Linked DNA regions of Caenorhabditis elegans. The protein of the gene in region 1 purifies or fractionates together with the protein of each later gene. This does not show direct contact. Each region holds a gene or a part of one and is shown in the gene's direction. Other genes may lie near its edges.

What was found.
Region 2: the proteins of mrpl-48 (region 1) and mmaa-1 fractionate together in Caenorhabditis elegans (co-fractionation; one large-scale study listed by BioGRID). This does not show direct contact.
Region 3: the proteins of mrpl-48 (region 1) and pho-11 fractionate together in Caenorhabditis elegans (co-fractionation; one large-scale study listed by BioGRID). This does not show direct contact.
Region 4: the proteins of mrpl-48 (region 1) and ZK856.7 fractionate together in Caenorhabditis elegans (co-fractionation; one large-scale study listed by BioGRID). This does not show direct contact.

The regions. Positions count from the first base shown.
Region 1 is NC_003283.11:5,592,159-5,595,041, forward strand, and holds mrpl-48 (Small ribosomal subunit protein uS10 domain-containing protein), read left to right. Parts: upstream 1-1,547; 5' UTR 1,548-1,551; coding exon 1,552-1,691; intron 1,692-1,741; coding exon 1,742-2,030; intron 2,031-2,133; coding exon 2,134-2,265; 3' UTR 2,266-2,341; downstream 2,342-2,883. Other genes in the region: vps-37 (VPS37 C-terminal domain-containing protein), read left to right, coding at 549-605, 660-749, 802-1,359; crn-2 (Deoxyribonuclease TATDN1), read left to right, coding at 2,488-2,683, 2,745-2,883.
Region 2 is NC_003280.10:7,099,020-7,102,723, reverse strand, and holds mmaa-1 (Methylmalonic aciduria type A homolog, mitochondrial), read left to right. Parts: upstream 1-1,560; coding exon 1,561-1,613; intron 1,614-1,656; coding exon 1,657-2,713; intron 2,714-2,832; coding exon 2,833-2,922; 3' UTR 2,923-3,141; downstream 3,142-3,704. Other genes in the region: farl-11 (DUF3402 domain-containing protein), read left to right, coding at 1-106, 322-406, 454-915, 965-1,191; T02G5.3 (EF-hand domain-containing protein), read right to left, coding at 3,440-3,550, 3,596-3,704. UniProt on the Caenorhabditis elegans protein: May have GTPase activity. May also bind and hydrolyze ATP. May function as chaperone. Likely to have a role in propionyl-CoA and adenosylcobalamin metabolism.
Region 3 is NC_003280.10:9,929,831-9,934,983, forward strand, and holds pho-11 (Putative acid phosphatase 11), read left to right. Parts: upstream 1-2,018; 5' UTR 2,019-2,032; coding exon 2,033-2,125; intron 2,126-2,210; coding exon 2,211-2,405; intron 2,406-2,452; coding exon 2,453-2,546; intron 2,547-2,766; coding exon 2,767-2,849; intron 2,850-2,943; coding exon 2,944-3,033; intron 3,034-3,319; coding exon 3,320-3,527; intron 3,528-3,571; coding exon 3,572-3,747; intron 3,748-4,140; coding exon 4,141-4,281; intron 4,282-4,326; coding exon 4,327-4,467; intron 4,468-4,513; coding exon 4,514-4,534; 3' UTR 4,535-4,601; downstream 4,602-5,153. Other genes in the region: C05C10.2 (DNA2/NAM7 helicase-like C-terminal domain-containing protein), read left to right, coding at 307-501, 618-677; C05C10.3 (putative succinyl-CoA:3-ketoacid coenzyme A transferase, mitochondrial), read right to left, coding at 4,717-5,040.
Region 4 is NC_003283.11:10,200,350-10,203,113, forward strand, and holds ZK856.7 (uncharacterized protein), read left to right. Parts: upstream 1-1,748; 5' UTR 1,749-1,749; coding exon 1,750-1,883; intron 1,884-1,929; coding exon 1,930-2,161; 3' UTR 2,162-2,204; downstream 2,205-2,764. Other genes in the region: chpf-1 (EF-hand domain-containing protein), read right to left, coding at 2,368-2,606, 2,652-2,764.

The DNA.
Region 1 (2,883 bases):
TGACGATATTTTTTATCCCCGAAGTATAATTAATAAATTTTCTCGGAATATAACTGGCAATCGAAAAAAAAGCCCAGTTGTTTTTACAACGCTGTCCGCTAAATATTTAAGTATATTTTATAAATACCTGGAAGCTACAGTACTCTTTGAAGGCGAACACCTTTTTGCATTTACCGTATTTTTCCGCACAAAAATCTTAAAATTTCAATTTGCCTGATTATTAATTCTTTTGAAGGGATCCAAATACAATAAATACAGCATATTTTGAATAAGGAATGTGACTTTTAAAAACCTTCAATTCATTCAATAAATGCGTCGTAAACTTTAATGTTTCCGCAATGCGCGTAGTTTAAAGTGTTTGCAGAAATATGCCTGCGTCTCTTCAGCGAACCTGATCTTTCATTAAACACATTTCTTGTTGCCATTTCATGAAAATTTCACAACGTTTCTTCCTTTTCCATTGATTTCTTAACTTTCTTCAATTATTTTTATCTTCCAAATCATTATTTATGCTCCTGTTTCTTTATTTAATTAATTTTCAGGGCGAAATGTTTAGTCAAAACCCGTACGAGTCACACGTCGACGTCGCCGTATCTGCAGCTTCAGTGAGTTTTACTTTTTACATTTAGAATTTTTAAAAATTCGTTATTCAATTGCAGGCTAATCTCCGGAATATGACAAACGAACAATTAATTTCGTTGCTAGACGATGATGCCCTTTTAGAATCGATTATTGTCAATCTCCCGCAGGTTTGTAAAAAATATTCAGCAGGTGATTTATTTTAACTGGATAACTTTTCAGGTCCGCTCAATGCCGACTGATAAGGAATCAGCTCTTGCCGCAAATAAATCATTAGCAGAATGGAATTTAGCTCAAAAGCCGAGAATCGATGCTGCCAAAACGCAAACGGTTGATCTCTACGACCAAGTAAAAAAGCTCCAAGGAGAAGTTGCCGTGCTGAAAAGTCAATTGGACTCTGTTTCCTCATCAAAATCACTTGATACAACATCGAGCTTGATGCAAGTCGCCGCACAAGAAGCTGATGATGATGCAGAAGCCCTATTCACACAATTTGAAAATGGAGAAATATCCGTGGAAATTTTCCTGAAGCAATTCAAAGATAAGAAGACAATTGCTCATCTACGAAAAATCAAGTCTGACCGTCTCGCAGCACTTCTTCGTGAACAAACGTATTCTTCATATGCTCAACCAACTGTACCTCCTCCAATGCCACACGCTCAGCCTGGATACCCAACAGGAAATCACATGCCTGGAATAGGAAATATTCAATTCGGATCTGGCTATTCAGGATATCCAAATATTTCTCAACCTTCTGCTGGTCGTCATCCATTTTTCTGAATTCTTTCGCTCGCTTTTATAGATTCTTTAATTCTTTTCCGACAAACTGGTCATCGCTTGTAAATATTTGAAAAAATAAATTAATCATCTTGAATAATTCATAAAATTTTCACAAGTTCAGGTTGAATCCGTTTTTATTTGAACTATTTTTTCAACATCCTCTATAAAAATATTTTTGAATTTTCAAGCAGAATGTCATCCCGAGCGGTCTCCTTATTATCTCGCGTGATCTCACAGAATCGAGGACTCGCATCGCTACGAGAAACTGTTGGAGAGCGTGACGCCAGTTTGCTCTACGAGCCGAAATTTCAAGATAGTAGAGAGTTTCCAGAGTACGTTCGCCAAGTTCTCAAAAATTTGTTAAATTTAAAAAAAAATTCAGGTACAACACAATTAACGTCCGAATTCAAGGACACGACTTTGGATCGCTAGAAAAATATCAAGCATACATTCATAAAACTGCGAAACGATTCGGATTTACCGTGGTGGATAGTTATGCTGTCGCTGCTCAAACACAAAAAGCAATCACCTATAAGCCGTACTCGACGGTTTCCGAATCTGAAATTGATATGTCCACATACGATCGCGTCGTCCGTCTCAGTGATGTTGCCGCTCCCCGATTCTCACTTTTCAGTCAAATTATTCGAGCACATATTCCCATTGGAGTTACTGTAGGTTTTAAAAAAATGTAGATTTCGTAAAATTAGCCAATTTTCGATGTCGTAATAACATGAAATATGATGAAATTTATTTCAATCAAAATATATTCTTCAGATGACGGTGAAAGAACACGAGAAAGTTGATGAAGACTCCCGATATATTCCTGATTTGTTATTGAAGCAGAAGCAAGAAGAACTCAAAGCATTGGATGATCCGAATGTACGCCGCAATCTCGGATGGGAGTAAAATTTAATTTTTTATTTAGTCTATAACTTCCTATAGTCATTTAGTTTTCACTGTTGCTGTTGATAAATTCTTTTTGAAATTTTCTTGAATATTAATATTCTCTGTTCAATGGACTTTTTTGCCTTTACAATGCCTTTTTCTCGATTTTCGCCTTCATTTTAACGCTTATTTTCAAATTGTTATCATATCAGAATTCTCGGAATATCATCAAGAATAACCAGGATGGCGTTGTACGAACTCGTCGACATCGGAGCCAATCTGGGTCATCCTTCATATCAAAAGGATTTGAATGATGTGCTCGATCGTGCCAAGCAAGCCGGGTTGTCGAAAATTATGGTTACTGGAACCAGCGAAAAAATTAGTCATGAATGTGCAGATCTCGTTGAAAAGTATCCGGGATTTTTGTATTTTACTGCAGGTATGTTACCGAAACTTTCAATCACGCCCTCGTTATCAATTTAATAACTTAAAATTCCTAGGCGTTCATCCGCACGATGCCAAGGATTGGAATGATGGAACATTGGAAGCTCTCAAAAAATTACAAGAAAACCCGAGTTGCGTGGCTGTTGGCGAATGTGGTCTCGATTTTAATCGCAACTTTTCTCCACAAGATGTGCA
Region 2 (3,704 bases), on another chromosome or scaffold:
GCTAGTTAAGCACTTCAAGCTGAATCACATTTATCAATTCGAATACATTTGCCAACAGATTGTATATGTGAATGGAATTCCCTTGATTTTAAAGTTTCTCGATCAGGTATGTCACTTGTTGCTCTTTTGCAAAGTTCCAAAAGCGATCTTGCCTCACCAAAGTTCATTTGCCGCTCGATCTATCCATCGCCCCACCCTTTTCTCTGCGTTTCTCATTCTTCAATGAGTGGCATGTGAAATATACGTGCAGACTTTAAAAATTGAAGCCCTTCCCTTCAAAATCAGATTCTTCTTTCTGCTTTTCATTTCATTTTGTTACAGAACACAAACAAATTAATCCAATCAAGACATGAAATCTACGCCTACAACTATCCACAATGTTTGTACCATTATGTCAGAAATAATGGTGAGTCTTAATTATTCCAAACTAAATTTTTCGTATTCCTTTTTCAGAAGAATGGCCAATTTTGACTCAAGACAATATAGAAGAACCACGTCCACCTGGCGCTGGCCCGTATTTCATGTGGCGAAATGTTTTCTTCGCAATCAATCTCATTCGTCTACTCAACAAATTGGTCAAAGCTAAAAACGATCGAGTTAAAATGCTGATGGTGTTCAAATCTGCTCCAGTTTTGAAGAGACTTTTCAAAGTACGAGTATCGGTACTACAACTTTACGTGCTGAAAGCGATCAAAATGCAATCACGATACCTTGGACGCCAGTGGAGAAAAAGTAATATGGACATAATTTCGGCGATCTACTCGAGAGTTCGACATCGAATGACCGATGATTGGGCGTTTGCTTCTGATATCAAGAGAAAGTGTGATTATCAAAAAGAAGACAGTTTGATCAAAGCAAGCATCGAAAGATTCCATAGTAGACGATATTCGGCATTATATCCTCAATTTGCTATTGGTAAGATTAAAATAACAAAAGCTTATAGCAACAAAAATTAAATTTTCAGAAGTGAATGATGCTCCAATGCCTGGTGACGACTACCTGAATCGAGTTGATATGAGAGATTTTGAGCCCGTTGACACGTGTGCTCACTCTGTTCTTGGTGCAAATCTGAAACTTGGACGTCATTTTAAGAAAGATTACGAAAAGTGGCTTGAACAGGAAGTCTTCAATGCGAGTATTGATTGGGATAAACTTCTGATAGAGACACGTGGAGTGGAAGATCTTATGTAAATCGATTCGATCCCGTTTCCACTGAACAAAAATCTGTAAATAACTAATTATTAGTTATTAATTCTTCTTTAACGATAAAAACGAGTTCATCTTTATTGTTCCCTTGTTCCCCAATGATAACTAACTTGTAAATCGAAATTTTGTTTGAAATTTTAGATCTCCCCATGCCCCCTTATACTTTACCAACCATCATTTTTCGAAAATATTTAATTTTTCCTTGTCAGAACCAATAATTGGACTAAAACCGAATGAATTCAATTGTTTACATAACATCGTTGTTTTGTTATTTTGATCATTGAAACGTTTCAACACTTGATATCTCTTATTTCTATTACTATGCGTTTTACCAAGTCTATCTTATTGTTTCAGATGGTAGTAAGATCATTGCTTCGGGTATCCAGACTCACTTCAGCTAGTTGTAGGTGAGATTTATTATCGTTAATATCAAGAAAATAGAATTTTCAGACACGCATCGTTAGCAGTATCTTCAACTCCAAAACCCTATATTCCATCAGTCACTGGAGTTCAGAAATCAATGCCATTTGATAATCTATTAGAACAATATTCTCGTGTTCATTGGGATGACTCTGTCACATATGATGATCCAAATGTGCAGAAACTTTTCAAATCATTGATGAGCGGAAGTCGAGCTGCCCTGGCTTCTGCAATCACACTAGTTGAATCTCGCCATCCGACAAAAAGAGCACAAGGAAATATGTTGTTGAAGATGGTTTTAGATGAAGAACGAGAGAAATACAAGAAATTCGGGAGAGATTCTATGATATTTCGAGTAGGAATCTCTGGTAGTCCAGGAGTAGGAAAGTCGTCTTTCATTGAAGCATTAGGAGCAGAATTAACCGAAAATCGAGGAAAGAAAGTTGCAGTTTTAACAATTGATCCCACTAGTGCCATGACGGGAGGATCTGTTCTTGGAGATCTTACAAGAATGCAAGAATTATCTCGTAATCCCAAAGCCTACATTCGTCAATCACCAACTTCTGGATCGCTCGGTGGTGTCACTCGTGGAATTCATGAAGCTGTGATCCTCTGCGAAGGTGCTGGATACGATATTGTTATCATTGAGACTGTTGGAGTAGGTCAATCTGAAACATCCGTTTCCGATATGTGTGATATGATGTGTCTTCTGTTGTCACCTGCTCATGGAGATGAATTGCAAGGTGTTAAACGAGGTATTATGGAGATGAGTGATTTGTTGGTTGTGACGAAAGATGATGGAGATTTGAAAGCGAAAGCCAAGATGACACAGGCTGAATACATTTCCGCGTTGAAATTCATGCGACCACGACTCGATGTATGGCGTCCAAAAGTTATGAGATCCTCAATTATGGATAAAGAATCTGTATCAGAAGTTTGTTCGAGTTTGTACGAATTCTGGGATACAATCGGAGAATCAGGAGATTTGGAAAGAAGGCGACAGGATCAAATGAAAAAATGGATGTGGAATCATGTTAAAGACGAAATTATGTCCGTTTTCCAAAAGCATCCGAAAATAGCACATTTGGTACGTTTTTGTTCTTAAAATACACCATCAAAACGATATTTCAAAAGAATTTGCAAAAAATATAATACTGAATTAAAAAAAAATACTGTTTGATAAATTCTAAATTTTCAATTTTACAGGCACCGAAACTGGAAAATGAAATTCGAAGTGGAAAAATCACCCCTGGTCTGGCTGCAGAAACAATGATCAGAACGTTCTTCGGCGTCTAGGCAACTCCTCATTTTTACCCCTTTATAACTCTACATTTGTAAACCACCTGTTCAATTGCAATTTTTTATTGTATTTTCTCGAGACTCACCAGTGTTTAATGTATTCATTAGATCCAATGTATTTAGACTTTTTTTTTGTGAATTTTCAAAACTAGCCAATCTTCTAGCCATAAATTACAAACATAACGGGATAAATAAAGAATATTAAATATTACCCGATTCGTGTGTTAAATTATTTTGCAGTTTCCCTAACTAACGTTTCAGCCAACAAAGCAATCTCAACCGTCATGAAGAGAGATGCTATAAGGACGTCGGAAGTTTAGCCTTAGAACTTTGAAAGCTGCTTTCAGGAGTGTGATTTATCTATTAGTTTGGGCTGTCAAACTATCCATTGGAATTATTGTTCTGGCATTATTTCACTTTGCGTGGGATTACATAGTATTTGGGTTTTTTTGAAAAATTAATATTTATCTATGATATCAATATTTCAAACATTTCAGATTAGGCTTGGGTATAATTATGCTTTGAGAAGAGATGGTGATGTTGGATTTGATGATTTTGTAACTTTTTCCAGAGTATAAACAAGTTGAGCTTCTGGATCTGTGACTGTATAGGATGCCACGAGCACCTAAAAATAAAAATTTGGGAGAATGTAACAAAACATTGAACATACCCATTCACTGTCAGAATCTGCAAGTCTAATCAGACTGTCAACTTGATGAGGAAAATTAATTTTCAAATGTTCCCGAGAGCTCAGCTGAATTCGATAAGTCTCCTTTGCA
Region 3 (5,153 bases), on another chromosome or scaffold:
CTGAAAAGAAGCAAGATCTGAAAAATGCCTGAAAAAATTGGCTCCGAGTACGGGCACTTCGGACGGCCAAAAAATTTTGTGACTATTGTCAAATGAAAGATCATGGTTGATAACATAAATTCCCACAATTTCAGAAAAATCGATTCGCAGCAAACAAAGTTATGTTTTTTGACCCGGAACTTACTTGGAGACCTAATAGTTTGATAGTGTTTTGAAGGGCTTGCGGAGCTTGTATAACTTAGTAGATCAAACTGAGACTACGCCTCACTAATATTATTTTTATGAATTACTGAAATTTGCTTTCAGAATGACTGGTATCAAAATCAACGAAGAAATAAGGTATCATTGTCATCGTATCCACTAATTTCAACATCACGACAATCGAAACAACAACGTGCCAATGAATATAATTCACAACACAAACACGTTAAAAGACAAAGTAACAATGATTACGGTAGCCAACGGAGCGTGACTAACTCATTGAATCCAGAATTTGTTGGGGTAAGCAGGGCATTCATTATTTGCCATTTTTTAATGTTTAAAAGTTTATATCATCGCAGTAAAAGTAACTTTTACATACTGTAATCCAAACATTGACTGATCTAATCCGATAATAGTTTCAGAAATGGGATGACGAGACGTATGGAGATTGGCCCACCATCCAGAAATCAACATAAATATCCAATTTTAGTCTTCTACTAGTTGTTTTTACCGTTTGTATTCATATCAAATTTTCATGATGATCTTTTGTTTCCATCTCCAAGCTTTCACTTTTTGGTTGTTTTAATTTTTTTTTTCTGTTGAAATTGAGTGTTTTTTTTCTGTTGAAATTGAGTGTTCCATTTTTATATGAAATGGATTTTGTCTGTCTTGGAAATTCTTTTGAAGACATTGAATCACAGAAGAATGTTTAAACATTTTCAGAAATTGTACGGAAAAAGTTGGGACCAAGAGAATTATGGTAAAATAAAACTTGTAATATGTATTACAATTTAGAAATAAAAAACTATAAATTTTCAAAGTTGGTTTTAAGTGCGTACAATATAATAGCCATTAAAAAGATATAGAGTAACCATGAAGAAAAATTCAACTAATACCTTTATTTTTCTAATTGAGAACTAACAGTTCAAATCCTTTAATGGATACTTTACAAATTAACTGTTGTTTTTGTTGGTAGGACTATTCACGAACGAACTAAAAAACGCATTAAATGGCTCTGCCAACTTTAGTCAAATTTTTTAACAGATTAATGCTTTTTGCAAACTCTCGCTATGCATTGGCGGTGAGAGACGCAGATAATACTTTTTTCTCTGGACGTGAAAAACACAAAGGATAACCGTTTTGCCATCTGCGTCTCTTCTTTCACACGCTATTTTGGCGGTGGACGAGGAATTCTCCTCTTCCAGGATTTTCAAGGCCATTTGCTCACATTTCTCAAGTTTTCTTGTCCGCGAGAAAACATGAATTTTGAGGCAGCCAGCGAGCACGTGCCAAAAATTTTTGGTAAACTTCGCCCTGTGCCAAGACCTAATCAGGATGTGCCTAACGCCTGCCCAAGATCTGGAAAACGCAAAAAAATATATCTGGAAAAAATACTAAAAACTAAAAACATGAATAGTTCTGACAGAGACTGTTTCATGAATTTTGCAACATTCGATAAATGGTACTTTCAAAAGTGCTCAAAGATCACGGCCATGGTCACAAACTTTTAGATAGCATATATTTCGACTTTAGACCAGAATTGATAAAATATCCATTCGATAAGAAAAAATGTTGCAGACCTAGTTTGTTTACATATTCTTTCACACCAATTTTATGAGTTCAGTCTATCATCACTCTGAAAAGTACATGGCTTTATCATGTAATCACGAGAAAATCGAAACGCGGGATAGTTATATCTATTAAACTGACCATATTTTTATTCATTTTCTATCTGAAGATATGATTTTGAAACAATTTTTATGGTTTTTTTAACGAGCTCAACTCTTTAAATAGGTTGTTCTGATATAGGAACATTTGTAGATCAAAAATTATGATGATCTCAATTTTCAGTCTGTTGGCTTCAACAGCCATTTTGGTATTTGCTAATGGGCAGAGCAATGTCAAATTGGAGTTTGTTCAAGCGGTAAGTTATATGAAATCCTAAATGCCAAATTTAGTCCTCAGTGAAAGTTACTTGGGTAGTACAATTTATTTTTAATTATTTCAAGATGTGGAGACACGGAGAACGTGCATCTCAAGTTGATCAATACCCAATTTACGAAAAAGATTGGATTTATGGAGGAGGTGGTCTCGGAGAGCTGACTGCAATTGGAATGGGAGAAATGAACGAACTTGGATGGCTTATTCGTAAAAGATATGTTACTAAATTGAAGTTTTTGACACCAAAGTATGCGTCCAGAGAGGTATACCCTAAAAATGTTAGAACGTGCCAAAATATGATTATTTCCAGGTATATTTTAGATCAACTAATTTCAATCGTACCATTATTTCGGCACAATCACTTTTGTACGGGCTGTTTCCACCAAGCTTGTATGATGTCAAAAGTAGGTTGTCAAAAAATTGATTAAATTTTTTATGCCAAACGGTTCAAACTTAAAGCCAATATGACTTTTTCTGTTGAACGAATAGATAAATTTAGTCCAGTGATATCTTTACTTTTTAATTTTTCATATTGAAATTGTCTGCACGTCTCTTATAAAATTAGCAAAAATCCAACTATTATATTACCTCTAATGCATTAGTTTTGATGATTACCATATTCAGACGTTGACTATCCATACTCCCCACTCACTTGGTTCCCTGGATTCACGTTTGTTCCAGTTCACGTCGATGGTCCGGATCAGTGTGTATGTTGTAAATTTACATTGGTTCTCGAGTAGTCTTAAATAATCTTACTGCGCGTGCCAGTTAAAATTACAAAATTATTACAAACCTTTCCAGGCCGCTAGTCAGAACTGTCCATGCACAAGATACGATCTTCTCCAAGGGCAGATGTTGACTCTTCCGGAAGTTTTGCCAAAGTATACGCAGGTAAGGTTTGATTGAATTATACTATCATCGGTAACCGTATTCACGTTGTGATGGCTTTGTCGGTAACTATGAACAGGCGCCTAAAATGCCTGCCTTCCGCCTAGACGCTTGCCTACTAGTAGACCTACTGTCAAGTTTTTCGTGAACGATTGTTCATTTATCATTCGATCAAATGCGTAAAGCTACAATATGTGAATCTCAAATATTGTAGTTTAAATCCTGACTGCCTGAATGTAGAAAATAGACGGTAGGCAGGCACGTGCCTCCTCTGAATTTCAATTTTTAGGTGGTCCTACTTAACCGTCGTGTCGGTGGATATTACAACATGACATCTGGCCTAGACTCCTTCACAACATACCCAGATACGTGGAAATGCCAGAGAGCATATTTCAACAGAACTATGTACGCGAAGCTTCCATGGTACAATGAAGAACTCTACTATCAAGCCCAAGTTACATATGCTCCGGTTAAGGGATTTTTAGAGGGAAATTTTGGTTAGTTGGGACGAGATTAAAGTCTCAGTGAAGCTTGGTTTCAGAGAATCCTGCTGTCACTTCTTCCGGGCTCGATGTGGGTCTTGAAATCAAAAAAGTTCGATCCGGAGTTATTATCAATGAAGTTTTCAATCGTGCCAATGAAAAATTGAATTGTGCAGAGCTGGGACAAAACTGCACTAGCTATTTGAATAAGCTGAAATTCTATGGATATTCTATTGTAAGAGATTTTAAAGTTTACTCCATAATTTAAGTTCAAAAATGCATGATATCTAGCCACGATCTTACCGTAGTTGGGAATACGGTAGACTACGGTAGTATTACTGTACTTGACTGGAAGTTAAGTATACCATCATAGTAGGTAGGAATCTGTTCATCCCTAGCTACCTCTGCCTACCTCATGCCGAGGCACCAGTCAAGGCTTGTCGGAATGTAGGCAAGCATTGTAGGTAACTCTAAGAAATTGAAATATAAAAAAAAAGAAAAGAAAAGCTAGTTACTTTTCATGCGAATTTTTTCAGGATTTTCAGAAAAAAAAATTTTGACAAAAAAAATGTTTTTTTTAATTTTTGAAATCAATTTTCCAAGATCTCACAACAAATTCGTTTTCCAGCATGACAACAATGTGTACGGTGTCCTGGTTGCTCTTGGTATTCCACAAATCGCTAACACACTTGACGGATGGCCAGCATACGCAGCTGGAATATTTATGGAATTCCACAGAAACACGTCAACAAACGAGAGATTCTTCAAGGTATTCCAGAGAGAAACCAGAAAATTCGAACAATTAAATTTTCAGGTTCTGTACCGTGAAGGAGATGACACTCCGATTTCTGATGTGACAAGTCAACTTCCAATTTGTAATGGAGCCACCTTGTGTCCACTTGGAGCTCTTCAGACTTTGGCCGAGACACTGAAGCCACTTCCAGATATTACTACTGTAAGCTCTTGTTTCCAAAAATTTCGACTTTATAAAAAATTTTCAGCTCTGCAAAACTCCTCTATGAATTACTGGAACTGTAATTTTTGTTGTAACTCAATTTTTATATTTTTTTATGAACTATTTCATTAAAACTCTTTTTGTTCACACAATCCTAAACCGGTATTATAGGCAAAAGACAAAAAAGTAACAAACAACGGACTAAAGAAGTATTTACACATTTCACGGAAATTTGTCAAAATTGACAAATTATCCTTGATTAAGAGGAGCCTGTCCCATTGGCTTCAGATTTTCGGAAATTTCGAATTTGCAAGCGGTGAGTTTCTTGATATCATCTACAGTAAGATCCTTCCTGACTTCGATCAATGTCAATCCGTTCTTTGTGTCCACGTCGAAAACTGCCATATCAGTAATGATTCGGGAAATTACTCCTTTGCCGGTCAGAGGAAGTTCGCAGTGCTCTAGAATTTTTGGCTCTCCGTTCTTCGATACATGCTCCATTACAACGATCACACGGGCTCCGGGAGCAGAGACAAGATCCATTGCACCGCCCATTCCTTTCACCAATTTTCCCTGGAAAATTTTAGAAATTTATTAAGATGGAAGATTAAGCGGAAAAGTATATTTTTATGAAGTTGTCTAAATTTTTTGTTTTTGGGGGTTTTTCGTTTTTTTTTTAAAGTTTT
Region 4 (2,764 bases), 4.6 Mb from region 1:
AGTAGTTTAATCGGAAAAAAACACATTATTCGTATTTGAATCAGCCCACAAATATTCGTGCGGAGTTTCAAGACCAGTTCGTTGAAACTTGAATTTGAATAATCGGATGCTGGATCGTGACTCAATAATTTAGAATGACGTCAGATTCTATGGCAACTAATTTACTTTGTAGATTAGTCATGTACAGATCCCCGAAAATTTGGTTTTAAGACCTGAAATAAGATCTTCAGTTCATTCGATTTATTTTCAAAACATTGTTGAAATCAGGACCAAGGAAGTAAATGAATAAAACTAGATATTTATTAGATAACCGTCGGAGGATCAGAATTCTGATCAACACTTTTGGCACAACAGTATTTCAAAGTGAAGAGCTCATTTCTCTCTTTTGTACCCTTTCCTGAAGTTAAATTATCATCTTCAGACAAAATATCATTCTTCCATTACTGTTTTCATAAGACAATTAAATTTTTTATACTGGCATAAAATTTTTGTCTAACTCTCAAAAACTAGTCTATCTCTCTACTGTAACCGAACAACAACAAAACACCAAAAGATTAGAAAAACTAGAGTCACACACGTGGTGTACTTTATTTTTGTGATTTTTGTGACAACAATAAGAGAACATATACCAGTTTTCAATATTCGGCTTCATGGAATACTGTAACGCGTTAACCTTTAAATTGTGAAATCTGATTAAACATGGAAGATTGTGTTGAATATGAAATTTGGAAAAGAAATACTCGGGAACAGTATTTAAAAGTTCAAAATATACATAAAATGATCGTTTAGGTTCGAGCCTACATCGTCGAATATCGTATTAAATTACTTATGTTTTTATTGGTAAATTGCCAAATTCTAGAAATTTCTAGCATGTTCGAGCCCATGTTCAGATGCTTAGATATAATTAATAGAAATACAAATCGACTAGAACAATCGTAAAAAATTGTTTTATTTTGAAGTTTTTCTATGTCGTAATATTAACTTTTAATGACAGTTCATTTTCTTTCAGTCGCGGGGTGCTCATTCTTTTGCATTGTTAAATTGATAAAATACTTAAAATGTCGATACAACATGTAGGTGCTAAGATGTGTGCATGCGATGCATGAGTAGCTTCCCGAAGATCACCTAGTCCAACTATGCCTTCTTTACTAGCCCAAATGTTAATTGACATCGTGTGAACGTAGTGTTAGGATGTCACCAGTTACGCATGCCTACGTCTGTAGGCTCTTGTGCTCCTACATGGTATACTTAGTATGAATACAGATATCAGTGCCGATCCTTGAAAATGTGAGAATGTGGTCGTCAAAACAAAATTCACAAATGACACACCAATTGCTTTTTCGTTTAGTCGGTGTTTGTTTGAAAACAAAACTGATTCAATGCTTCATTCATTTGTCTTCTTCTTTTTGATTTACTTTATCGTTGTTTTGTGTAACAACACCAAGGCTCTCAAGGACAGCCCGTATCGATCGCAATTCGGCCGCTGTGGCAGACTACCCATTCACCACTGCGACCGATAGACCGACTACTACCTGTTTATACCCAATTATTCGTTCTCATGTTTCTTTTTATCCTTTTTACTGTTGAATTACCAACAGTTGAACAATCAAAATATTTTCTATAATAACAAAATTTCTCTTCCTCCATTCTTTGTACCTTTCCAATGTATTTCTTTTGTGAGAACACCAACGTTGCTGATATTTTGCCATATCAATAGAACCATTGTAGTCTACAGTATACTTTTTTAGAATGCGTGTCGCAGTTATTCTTCTGTTCTTTTTATCTGTCGCTCTCGCATGTGACATCATTGTTCATTTGAAATCGGACACAGACAAGAAATTCAGCGGACAAATTGTTGCCAGCAATGGAAAGAAATCTGAAAGGTTTGTTCGGAGGACATCAATAGAAAAATTATGTTTTCTTTTTCAGATGGAGCTATTTGAAGAAGCTTCAGAAGAACACCTTCCAACAGAAAGCCGATGAATGTGGACTCAAGGATTGGGAGATTACTACTTGGGATGATGCTGGAAAGCCAGTTGCTACCGTAAAAGTCACTTTGGATGGAATTGGAAGAGTCACTTACAAGGTTGGAGATGATTTGAAGGCAGTTCAAAAGGATCGTCAAGGAGCCATCTGCAAGGGACAATGTGCTCCTTTGTAAATGTTTGAAAACTATTAATCAATGATAAAACTGATAAAACATTCATTTTTCTTTGTCAATTTTGATTTCACACGAAAATTGATAAACAACTTCTGAGATAGTTTGTGTCTTCAAGGCAAAATGGTGAGAAGTGACAAAAATTATGTACAGGTAAGAGAAAATGGCAAACTGAAAACGAGACTAGCAGGGGAATTTCTTGTAAAAGCTTAGTTTAGGAATCGAATCGACATCTTCTCCTCAATATCAGTTTTTTCCATTGCTCGACAAAACTCATCAAAAGAAATTTTTCCATCACGATCTGCATCAGCTTCCTCAATCGTTCGATCAGCAATCTTGTCGAGTTGATCAGAAGTTATATTGGCACCAACCATACTGTTCAGAATGACTTTGAATTCTTCACGTGTGATGTAGTCGTTTTTATTTAAATCGTACATTTTGAACGCAACTGAAATAAAATTAAATAATTAAAAACTTGAAAGAATAATCTTACAAAGCAATTTGTCTTTTCTCGAGTTGAGAGCATTTTTCTTTACTCTTGAAATCGGTTGAAAGTGTGCAAGAATTCGAACAAATTGACGAAAGTTCAACTGTTGCTCTTCGTTG